Linked DNA regions of Xenopus tropicalis. Each later gene encodes a partner of the first gene's protein in a complex. Links are inferred from orthologs where the notes say so. Each region holds a gene or a part of one and is shown on either strand. Other genes may lie near its edges.

What was found. The genes of interacting proteins can lie anywhere in the genome.
Region 2: snrpf (region 1) and armc7 share a complex: the UniProt entries of both Homo sapiens proteins name them as parts of the minor spliceosome. The link is inferred for Xenopus tropicalis from reciprocal best matches to the Homo sapiens genes SNRPF and ARMC7.

The regions. Positions count from the first base shown.
Region 1 is NC_030679.2:57,033,958-57,039,683, reverse strand, and holds snrpf (small nuclear ribonucleoprotein F), read right to left. Parts: upstream 3,736-5,726; 5' UTR 3,608-3,735; coding exon 3,605-3,607; intron 2,736-3,604; coding exon 2,610-2,735; intron 1,615-2,609; coding exon 1,550-1,614; intron 928-1,549; coding exon 861-927; 3' UTR 683-860; downstream 1-682. Other genes in the region: ccdc38 (coiled-coil domain-containing protein 38), read left to right, coding at 170-277. UniProt on the Homo sapiens protein: Plays a role in pre-mRNA splicing as a core component of the spliceosomal U1, U2, U4 and U5 small nuclear ribonucleoproteins (snRNPs), the building blocks of the spliceosome.
Region 2 is NC_030686.2:44,365,596-44,371,504, reverse strand, and holds armc7 (armadillo repeat-containing protein 7), read right to left. Parts: upstream 3,945-5,909; 5' UTR 3,873-3,944; coding exon 3,797-3,872; intron 3,793-3,796; exon of another isoform or gene 3,703-3,792; coding exon 3,538-3,702; intron 1,890-3,537; coding exon 1,537-1,889; 3' UTR 935-1,536; downstream 1-934. UniProt on the Homo sapiens protein: As a component of the minor spliceosome, involved in the splicing of U12-type introns in pre-mRNAs.

The DNA.
Region 1 (5,726 bases):
CTTGAAAAAAATGTCTTAGTTCAGTAATCCAAAGCAAACAATCAGCAGTTCGCATTTACAGGCTTGCTGCAGTTAGAATATGAAAGTTCCTGGTTTGTTGCTGAAAGCACCATAACACACAAAGCAGCAATTGGATATGTACCGCAAATAACTTTTCCCCTTTCAACAGATAGGAAGAAAGTTAATGAAGCGTTCTGAGCCTCCATCAAGTAAAGTGATTAGAAGTGATGTTGCTAATGCAAAAATTCTAGAAGAACAACTGTATTTCTTCTCATAGGCTACCTAGCAATTATTCCAACAATAATGGATGGTTTCATTACTGACATTTGTTGTACCTAAAATAAAGGGCTGTTGTATGCAAAGCTTTATTACCATTATCTGTGCAAAGGTCTCAGCAAATAAACTAAGTAGCAAGTTGCTGTACTTATTGAAAAGAGGTGTAATTAACGGTAATGGTTTAGTAAAACCATTTAAAACAAATGTACAGTGCTGAAAGGTAATTCAGGTTAATTCTTGGTGTTTGGCTATTTAAGGAATAACTCAGGGTTTATAAAAATTTCCATGAGTCCCATTACTTTAAGTGCACTCTTGGCTAATTAAGTTTCAAATTCAAGCAGATTGCCACTGCCCAATTAATTTTAGCTTGTGTTTAGACTACAGCCACACAAACACCACATTATTACAATGCAATTATCTTTTATTGTTCTAACACAATAAAGTACATTTCAAAGAACAAACACTGAATGCAGTGTAAACAACTATAAAAAAAAAAGAAAAATGCTGTAAAAAATGCCTTCATAATAAATGAAGTTATCCTTTTCTTCATGAAACTATACAAAGGGTTTTCCAAATAATTCCAATTACTCTCTCATCTCTCCATCTTCCTCCTCCTCTTCTACCCCACGTATATATAACACATTGTTGCATCTGTATAAAAAAGGAATACAATAGTTAAACAGTTTAGCAGAGAAAAGGTAGCAGTCACATTGTTTTTCTAGAGAAGGGATACAATTCTTGCTACTAGGTAGTTATCAAGAAAAAAAAGGGCAATCTACTCACGCCTCCTTGGAGGTTGTGCTTTAAAGAGAATATTTAAAAGGACAATTTGTTGCCTTTTTAAATAATTGTTAAATTACACAGTTTAGATAAGAAACTATTTAAAAAGTACATTTTTTTTTTTTACAGAATATACTTTACATTTTTCACTGGTTCACATGTATGTATATATATTTTTATTTATAAAGCGCTACTTATGTACACAGCGCTGTACAGTAGAATACATTAATACAAATAGGGGGTTAATAAGATAATAGATAAATACAAAGTATAACAATAAATACAAATACATACAAGATACAGTTACAGTTGCAATAAGTTAAGAGTCAAAGACACAAGAGGATGGAGGTCCCTGCCCCGTAGAGCTTACAATCTATATGGCACATGCAGTTGCCTTAACATGCTGACAAGAGTTTGCTTTCTATTTCAGAAAAGCAGACATATATGCTGTAATGTGACCACCTACAAAGCATCCCCAGTGCACAATTCTTACCTTATCAAAACTTCTCCAAGATGTCCAGACAATGCACCATCAATATATTCTTCTGTGTTTGCAAGCTGCAATAATATATATAAATGAATTAACCAACAGAAAAAGCTTCTCACACATCACAGCAACCTTGGATAATGGACACTCATTACTTTCTCAACCATCATTACTATAAAAAAAAAAAACTCTGCAATACAGAAATATTAATATTAATTGTTACTTATGTTTTAAAAGCAATTAAGCTGGCTAATTGGTGCTAATGCTACTAGGGTTAGCAATGGTACTATAAAGTGTCACAACACTCTGGCAAGCACTCCAGCTAATTGCATGCAACCTTAAGCAGCACTTAAAGGAACAGTAACACCAAAAAATAAAAGAGCTTTAAAGTAATGAAAATATAATGCACTGTTGCCCTGCACTGGTAAAATTGGTGTGTTTGCTACAGTAACACTACTATAATTTATATAATAAGCTGCTGTGTAGCCACGGGGGCAGCCATTCAAGCTGGAAAAAAGGAGAAAAGGCACAGGTTACATAGCAGATAACAGATAAGTTCTGTAGAGTACAATAGTGTTTTATCTGTTATCTGCTATGTGCCTGTGCCTTTTCTCCTTTGAATGGCTGCCCCCATGGCTACACAGCAGCTTATTTATATAAATTATAGAAGACTTTCTGAAGTAAACACACAACTTTTACCAGTGCAGGGCAGCAGCACATTATATTTTAGTTAGTTTTTTACACTTTAATTTTTTGGTGTTACTGTTCCTTTAATGTATTTCATTGCCAGCAATGGGCTGCTGATGCCCAAAACCATTTTACTTGTGCAATTTCCTAGTGTTAACTAGAGACAGAGGCAATCCAATCCAAATGTCTCATACACTGCTCTAAAATGGCAACAGGAAAGCCCAGATACAATTCTGGCACAATATAAAGGGAATATAATATAAATTATATATACACATGCATACAATATATATTTTTTTTTATTAAATAATCTAATAAATTAACTTATAACAGCAAGTAACCAACTATAATATCTGACATGTTCAGTGCTATTACTTACCTGCATGTTCATGTATCCATCCACTGATACCAAGTAGCCTTTGTACTCCATCCCCCATTTCAGCTTTACCATAACTGGCTTACCAGTGAGGCCATTAAGGAAGGGTTTTGGATTCAGTGGTAAACTCTGAAAATATAATCATTTATAATATAAATATTCAATAGGTCTTGTGATTAAAACGTCAACTCATGCAATAACCTGAAGTAATCATATGCATACATTTTCAATACTATATCTCTGCCTTTATTTGTCCTCAGTTTTCTCATGCTCCCTTCCAAGAAACCAAAAGGGGACACCTGCCTAATAATGATACTTGGGGCACGGCCAGCAACAACAACCACAAATCCATATCTAATAGAAATCATCCTTTCTTTGGTAGGAGGCTATATATTATTACACTACCACAGTAAAATGAAAAAGGGGCATTTATTTATTCTTCCTGATAGTTGAAAGTGCAGTTCAATAGCTGGAGGGCCACAAGGCTGCACATCACTGCTGGCTGAGGGCAGTCACAGTACAAACAGTATAACATGCCATTTGTAGCATTACCACTTGAGATATGATAGGCAGAGGAACACATGGCCTTTAGGAAATTATCAACTCCCATGTGCCACCGCTTTAAGAACAGACGCAAACATCCCATGTTCGCGGCTCATCCCCAGTAGAGATAGTACCATCCCACGCTGCATGGCTACTTATATTTCAGCGCAGCCTACACCGCGCCTTACATACAGGCTCTTTCCGTGCAACGTGCCCTTAGCGAGTACACACGCTGCAAAGATAACACGTTACGCCTTTCCACACAGGCCTAACAATAAAGCAACCAAACAAACCCGAACCAACTGCATAACCCATTCTGTAAATCCGGCGGGATAAGCTGCTACTCGGGATAATGAACAGCCCCACACACCATGCTGCCTGCACTCCCCCCCATCCCTACACACTGACACCCCCTGTCCCGCCAGGCCTGGAACTCGCACACCTCCAGTACTTACCATGGTGCGACCGCAGCCTCACAACAAACTGCAGATCAATAAAAAAAATTCCTCCCCGGAGCGTCCCGTAGAACACACCGCTGGAGCAAAGCGGGAAATGGCTGCCAAGGCCCGGAAGCGACAGGAGAAAAGACCATAGAGAGCCGACACGCGTTGAATGGCTAACTGCTCCCTCTAGTGGCTGGAGTTGGATTTCCAACATGACTCCAACAATCGCCAGTGGAGGCGGGATTATTTCACAATGGTGTTGTATTGTACAAGGCTCACCCTCTGTGCTGACTCCGGGCCGCCTCAGTACTACTAGTACTACAGGGCCTTCCCCCAGGAACCGCAATTAGGCATTTCTAATAAATGCAAGTTGCTATACTGCGCTGACTGCAATTACAACAAATACAAACATTGCGTCCCGTCTATTTGTATTTCGTACCTTGTTTTGATTATTTGTTAACGCTATGTAATTATATTCACTATTATGCACAACAGTCCAGATTTAGAAGCCTTGATTTTCCGAGGACTTGGTGGCACTTGGAGGGTAAAATTAGAATGGGTAAAGGAATACTGTCATGAGAAAAGGTTTTTTTTCAAAATGCATCGGTTAATAGAACTTCAACAGGTTTTTTTTTATATTTAATTTTAAAAGTTCACATGGGGCTAGCCATATTCTTCATATCCCAGGGTGCTACAGCCATGTGACTGATAAACTTCAGTCACACTTTACTGCTGCGCTGCAAGTTGGAGTGATATCACCCAGGAGTACCTGATTCCACAGGTAGAAAGAAAACCATGATAGTTTTCTCTGTGCTCTTTAGCACATTTGTCTCCCAATGTAATGCAAGCTGTCCCCCTTTATACCAGAATCTGTGCGCTTTTTACAAAGAAAGAAAAAGTGAGAGAGGGGTTGCATTACACTGTGACCCTAAGTGGGTTGCATACCCCCCAACTGTCCCGCTTTTCGCAGGACAGTCCCGGTTTTTACAGCGCATCCCGCTGTCCCGGATTGTTCAATGAATGTCCCGCATTACGGAAATGCAGAACATTCATTAAACTATCCAGGCCAGCGGGATGCGCTGACTGCAGCCAGCACTCCGGCTCCGTCTCGTCCTGTGGCTCCTGCTTCTTATTCGGCTCCTCGTACGGCGGCGACAGGCCCTTTTATAAGGTTGCGCCCATGCGTACGTGTGATGTCACACGTACGCACGGGGCGCAACCTTATAAAAGGTCCTGTCGCCGCCGTAGAAGGAGCCGCATAAGGAGCAGGAGCCACAAGAAGCAGCGTCAATGGGGGGCACTGTGTATGGGGGGCATTTTCTATTGGAGGTACTCTCTATGGGGGCAATTGGGGGCTACTGTGTATGGGGGGTGTTTTCTATTGGGGGTACTCTCTATGGGAGCAATTGGGGGTACTCTCTATGGGGGCAATTTTCTATTGGGGGTACTCTCTATGGGGCAATTGGGGGCTACTGTGTATGGGGACATTTTCTATTGGGGGTACTCTCCATGGGGGCAATTGGGGGCTACTGTGTATGGGGGGCTACTGTGTATGGGAGGATACTGTATGGGGGGCTACTGTGTATGGGAGGAAATGTGTATGGGGGCAATTGGGGACACTTTCTGTGGGGGCATTGTGTATGGAGGGTACTTTCTATGAGGGCACGGTCTATGGGGGCGTATGGGGGGGCACTGTCTATGGGGGTGCTGTCTATTGGGCCATTGGGGGCACTATTTTAAAAATGAATTTTAAAAATGGGGTGTGGTAATTGGGGCGTGGCCACAAAGTGGGCGTGGTCAAAAAAATTTGTCCCTCTTTTCATTTTTCAAATGTTGGGAGGTATGGGGTTGTGAACTGTTCCCAGGGAAGTGCTGATATAACTGTCGTGATTTTTAATCTTGGTGCTTTTCCTGATGGGGTGTAGCCGACTCACAGTTGTTCACATTTTCACAGCAATGTAAACAGACCCTTCCCCTAGAAGAGTTCAGTCCCCTGGCACAACAGTAGCACAGCCTGTGGGGATGTATATGTTTGTGTATTGAACATTTATGTTTGTCTCTGCTTTAAAAAAGGAGCACATAACTGTGCCAAAAAAATCAGCAGTTAAAAATGTAATGTGTGCCTTGGTAAATG
Region 2 (5,909 bases), on another chromosome or scaffold:
CGGTCGTACGAAACATCATGAGATCGCCACGTGTATGGCCAGCTTTAGGCTAATGCCCCACGGAAAGATTAGTTTCCCTCGCTGAATCTCTGCAGGTTACTAATCTACCCGAAATGCCTTTCCACTGGCAACAAAGTAAATTACCAGTGGAAAGGCATATTGTTGCTTTATTTATCAGAAGTTACACAATTTCCTCTTGCAGGCAACTTTGTGTGTCATATATATATATACCATTCCTGACAATCCTTAAGGTGGCGAGATCGCCAAGCGAGTGGATCTTCTCCCGATATCCCCACTACAGGTGGGCAATATCCGGCTAATTCGGTCCCTGGCCCTGGGGCCAAACGATCGAATTATAACGACGGGTATAGGCAAAGTCGGTCCAGGGACCGTCCCCGACCCGACTAGATTTTTTAACCTACCCGATCAATATCTGGCTGATTTCAGGCCAGATATGGGTCGGGCAGGCCCGTCGGTAGTGCCCATACATGGGCCAATAAGCTGCCGAATCTGTCTAAGGGACCCATATCGGCAGCTAGAATCGGCCCGTGTATGGGGACCTATGGTGAGTATGGAGCAGTCAGCTATGTTATCTACAAGAGCTGTTACTGGACTGCTCTGTACCTACCTTTTGTCCCGGGGGGGTGTAACCTACTGGCAAGTTAAAGTTATTATTATGGAATAAAGGTCCCATCTGCCCTATGGAAGTCATACTTATGGCCGGATTCTGTGATATATAGACCTTTGCTCTGCTCAAACATGATGTTTATTGATCATTTCCGATATTTGTGGGGACCCTATACTCACACTTTCATTAAATTCAGTAGAGTTACAATGTGTAATATTGGGGTGCCAGTATCTATCATCAAGTAGTTGTTGCACGTATGAGGTATATGTGTGTGCACCGCCCTTCCAGATTTTGGTTGTGTTTTGGATCTTTGGCTATTGGACTCTTTGAGCATCGGTATTCATGGGCCCCATACTTAAAAGCTAGCAGGGCCCCCTCAATTATTAGCTCACCAGTCTCTTGTGCTTCCAGGCCTTGTAAACAGGTAAAATGAATCCCCTCACATGCATAGCCACATCCCTAATCCACTGCAATTATATTAAAACTCTCCCCATGATCCACCCAAGTGTCACCCCCTACCATAAGGTTCCCCCACCCCTTTCATGGACCCTGAATAACCCATGAAGCTTTGCTGGGGAGAGCTAAGAAACACAACTGTACAATCTCGCCAACCATTGGCCACTCACGAAGAGTGGATAGCAGTGTAGATAGCAGCACCGAGTGCTTTTCCTCTTTAATGATTTTAATACAGTAGAAATAAATACACGAGGGACCATGGGGTCAGTCCATAACTGAATCACGGAACAGTATCTTGCAGGGGACTGCAGTCCGGCAAGGCTTGCACTTGTCTCCCAAACTTGTTTCATGATCATGAAAGTGACCAGCACTTCAAACACAGAGTTTGTCACACTCCGAGAACAGCCATGCTGCATCTGTTTCTAGTAGGGTGCAAATGTCCGACACGGGAGTCAGATGGGGTGCTGCGTGGATTCAGGGAGCGGGATTCCCAATGCCGAATGTTGGCTCAGTTCTTTGGCTTCTTGCACTTGCTTATCGCTGCAGTAATCCTGCAGGAAGATGGTGGCCAAATTGCTGATCCTGCGGTTGGTGGAAAGGGAGAAGCGCACCATGCACTCCACCACAGCAGGAGCCGTCACTTCAGTGCGGGAGGCGGCCGTGCACAGGAACATGAGTGTGGTCAGCGCCGAAAGCACCGTCTCTTCCCGACGGCTGGACAGGCAATTGATGACCAATTTCAGCCCCCCGGAGTCTAGTATGTGACTCTTGTTAGTCTTGTCCAGGCAGAGATTACAGAGACCCCCTATTGGAAAAGAGAGAATGGTTAAAGGCAAACTAACAATTTCAAAGACATTATGACCTACAGGGGGTTTGATCACAATTGAAATTGAGGACATGTTTTTTAGGGGGGGGGGGGATCCCATAGGAAAGATGGAAAAAAACATATTGCCCAAACCTACAATATCCTTCCGTCCTGCTGGAAGTGGTTAATACAAGATAACTGGGCTTTCACTGCACCCAATGTTTATATTCGCAACACAGGATGTTTATCTGGGTATAAAAGGATCGCACAGAAGTTTGTAGTGAAAACGATAAATATACCAGAGCCGTGTTTGTCAGAGACCAATGACAGGCGAGGGGTTGGGGGGGGTGGTACACGGTGGCCATAGATGGGCTGATAAAACCTACTGATTCTGCCACCCCCCCCTCCAGTGCCAGGTTGCATATTGGGCTTTTCCCAGGGACAGACTGGGACAATGAGAAAAATCCCAGTGGGCCCCACCAACCCAGGCCTGATCCCTGCCAGCAACATCGGCCCTCCACCCTCAGTGAGGGGCCCCCAGTCTGACACTGGCTTTTTTTCAATGGTCCGTCCCACTGTCATCAAGCAGAAAATTTAAGCATCTACCCACTGCCCACCTATAGCCACTTTCACTATACTGTCCATCAACTGGAGATTGGGGCGGAGTCATTATATCAGGGGTGGGCAAACTACGGCCTGCAAGCCATGTCTGGCCCATTGGCCTTTTTAATCCGGTCCGCTGACTCCTGATTGGTCGCTGTAGGTCGCTGGGGGGGGGGGGAGGATGTTTAGGAGGATGCTGAGAAGGATGCTGGGGGGGAGCTGGTGGGAGGATGCTGGAGGGGGGCTGGTGGGAGGATGCTTGGGGGGAGCTGGTGGGAGGATGCTGGGTAGGGACGCTGGGGGGAGCTGGAGGATGCTGGTGGGAGGATGTTGAGGAAGATGCTGGTGGGAGTTGAAGAATGCTGGGGGGGAGCTGGTGGGAGGATGTTGAGGAGGATGCTGGGAAGGACACTGGGGGGAGCTGGAGGATGCTGGTGGGAGGATGTTGAGGAAGATGCTGGGGGGAGTTGAAGGATGCTGAGGGGAGCTGAAGGATGCTGGGGGGGAGCTGGTGGGAGGATGTTGAGCAGGATGCTGGGAAGGACGCTGGGGGAGCTGGAGGATGCTGGGAAGGATGCTGGAGGGGAGCTGGTGGGAGGATGCTGAGGAGGATGCTGGGATAGGATGCTGGGGGGAGCTGGAGGATGCTGGTGGGAAGATGCTGGGGGGAGCTGAGAGGCCTGTGATTTCGGGCCAGCGTTACACTCAGGGCCTCCATCAAGTCAATGTGTCCCCTGAGCTTGGAGGATGCTGGCAAGGACGCTGGGGGGAGCTGGAGGATGCTGGTGGGAGGATGTTGAGGAAGATGCTGGGGGGAGTTGAAGGATGCTGGGGGGGAGCTGGTGGGAGGATGCTGGGATAGGATGCTGGGGGGAGCTGGTGGGAGGATGCTGAGGAGGATGCTGGGGGGAGCTGGAGGATGCTGGTGGGAGGATGCTGGGGGGAGGATGCTGGTGGGAGCTGAGATTATATTGCATTATATTGTGACCCTCCTGCCACACATGGGGGCACATTGTGGGCTCAGCACTTCAGTACATTCTCTCACCCAGGCCAAACTCCACCAGGTTCTCATTGCCCTCAGTCAGCATATCCAGGAACAGGTCCAGCACCTGTAGCTTCCGCAGGTCGGAAAAGTTCCGGGGATCGTAGGCGAAGTTGGCCAGATTGGCCAGGACCTGCTCTTTGGCTTCTGAGCAATTAAGGGGAGAAACTAATGAGAAGAGGAAATGATGCGGAGAGTTGGTACAAAACTACAACCGTAACGAAACTGAATGGGGTTAAATCTCCCCCTCTCTCTCCCTTACCGACACTGTCCGTGTCCTGGAACTCAGTGACCAACGTCTGCAGGTACTGAAACCGCTCCGACTCCCCGTCACCCATCCCCGCTCTCTATCAGCCCGCAGTACCTGCGCTTCCGGGTGGGCGGAAGTGATGTCACCGTACTGGCAGAAGCCTCAAGTCGGGTGCCAGTTCTCGTCCTACTTCCGGGCGGGAAGCGTGAGGGAGGCGCAAAGCGCTGAGGCGGAACTGTAGCGTTAGGGGCAGAATTACCCGGGTAAGTGTGAGGGTGGGAACAATAGAAATAAACAAAATGTCATGCTATGAGTATACTTTTGTATTGAGATTTATATATTTATGATGTATTTTTCTCTTCAGACCCTCTCCTACTCACTCTTCAGGTTGGCAACTTGGTAGCAGGAAATTGGAAAGTGTAGAAGTGCTAAAGTGGCAAAAACCTCAGAGGATAAAAAAATGAAGACTGTGGTACTTATCTGCTGCTCACACAATTCTTACAACTATGGCCCACGGGCCGTATTGGCGCAATACCGTCTGACCCCGCCCCTCCAGACACTCGTTTCAATAGAAAACACGTGACACCCAGGCAACAAAGGCCCAGGCCCGGGGCGGAACAGATTAAGGGCTCTGGCACACGGGGAGATTAGTCACCCGCGACAAAACTCCCTGTTCGTGGGCAACTAATCTCCCCGAGTTGCCTTCCCCTGCCATCCCACTGGCGAAAATGTAAGTGGCCGGTGGGATGGCACACGCGGCAGCGCGATTTAGCGCAAATCGCTGAAAAAGCCTCGCAAGGCAACTTCGGCGATTTGCGTGAAATCGCGCCGCCGCGTGTGCCATCCCACCCGCGACTTACATGTTCGCCGGTGGGATGGCAGGGGAAGGCAACTCGGGGAGATTAGTTGCCCACGAACAGGGAGTTTTGCCGCGGGCGACTAATCTCCCCGTGTGCCAGAGCCCTTAGGGTGGCATGCTGCCCAAGCCGCACTGAAAATTGAACGTTAAATGGAAACACCAAGCTGCAGGGCCAGACTGGGGGTAAAAAGCAGCCCAAATATAAATATGCAATGGCCTTCTACTCTTTATATCGCCACACATGTATATAGGGGTAAAATGGCTATAAATCATGTGCATAAGGAATTGGGATGTTAACACGTCTCTAGTTTGGTATTTCTGCAACTATCTGGTTGCTAGGGTCATATTTAAACTAGCAACCACGTGAGATATGGTACTGAATAACAATAGCCTCTCAGAGCAATAGTTTTTTGGCTGGCTGACTGCCTGAAAGCATAGAGAGGCAGAAAAAGGCAGCAAATAATTTAAAAATAAGTAAAAAAAAAGACCAGTGGCACAGATGCTAAATATAGGGTATTTTATAACTCACTTTTATCCCCCTGGGATTCACAGTGCACACAAACAGAGTCGGACTGGCCCACCAGGATACCAGGAAAACTCCCGGTGGGCCCAGGGGTCAGTGGGCCCTCCTGCTCCTCACCATTTGGCCTATTCATGGTCATTCCCTATTTCTGAATGGGAACAAAGAGAAGAAATAGATGGAAGAATAGATGCTAGCATGTAAATAAAACAGACTAGGAGAATAAAGTGGTTTTAGTGAGGAAAGGAGGAAAATTAATTTGGAGAGTGGGCCCATGGTCTAAGGTTTTCTAGTGGGCCCCTGGGGTCCCAGTCCGACACTGCAAACAAGCCAAGGCACACATACATGCTAGGCCCCATCAGCCAATGAATGGACAGAGTTCTGCCTTTTGCTCCCACACTACTTCCTGTTACAGTTAGAGCTGCATCACTTCCTGTCAGCTGATCTCTGAGGGGGCACACAGCCCATCACTAAATGGCGGCTCAAGGGAAAGGCTGTAAAAGGGCAATATTTACTGATATATATATTCCAGTTTGGGGAGATTCTTTAATAGGCCACTTAACATAATATAAACTGTCTGTTGGTTACATATTCATTCTGGGGGTATAGTTTCCCTTAAAGAAATAATTAAGATGCTGGTCACCTGTGACTTGAGCTGTAGGATTGTTGGCTGCTGTTTCTTCAGTTCTTCAAGGGCTCAGAAGACACTGCTGATCTGTCAGATTTCCCACTTTCACTAGCGGCCT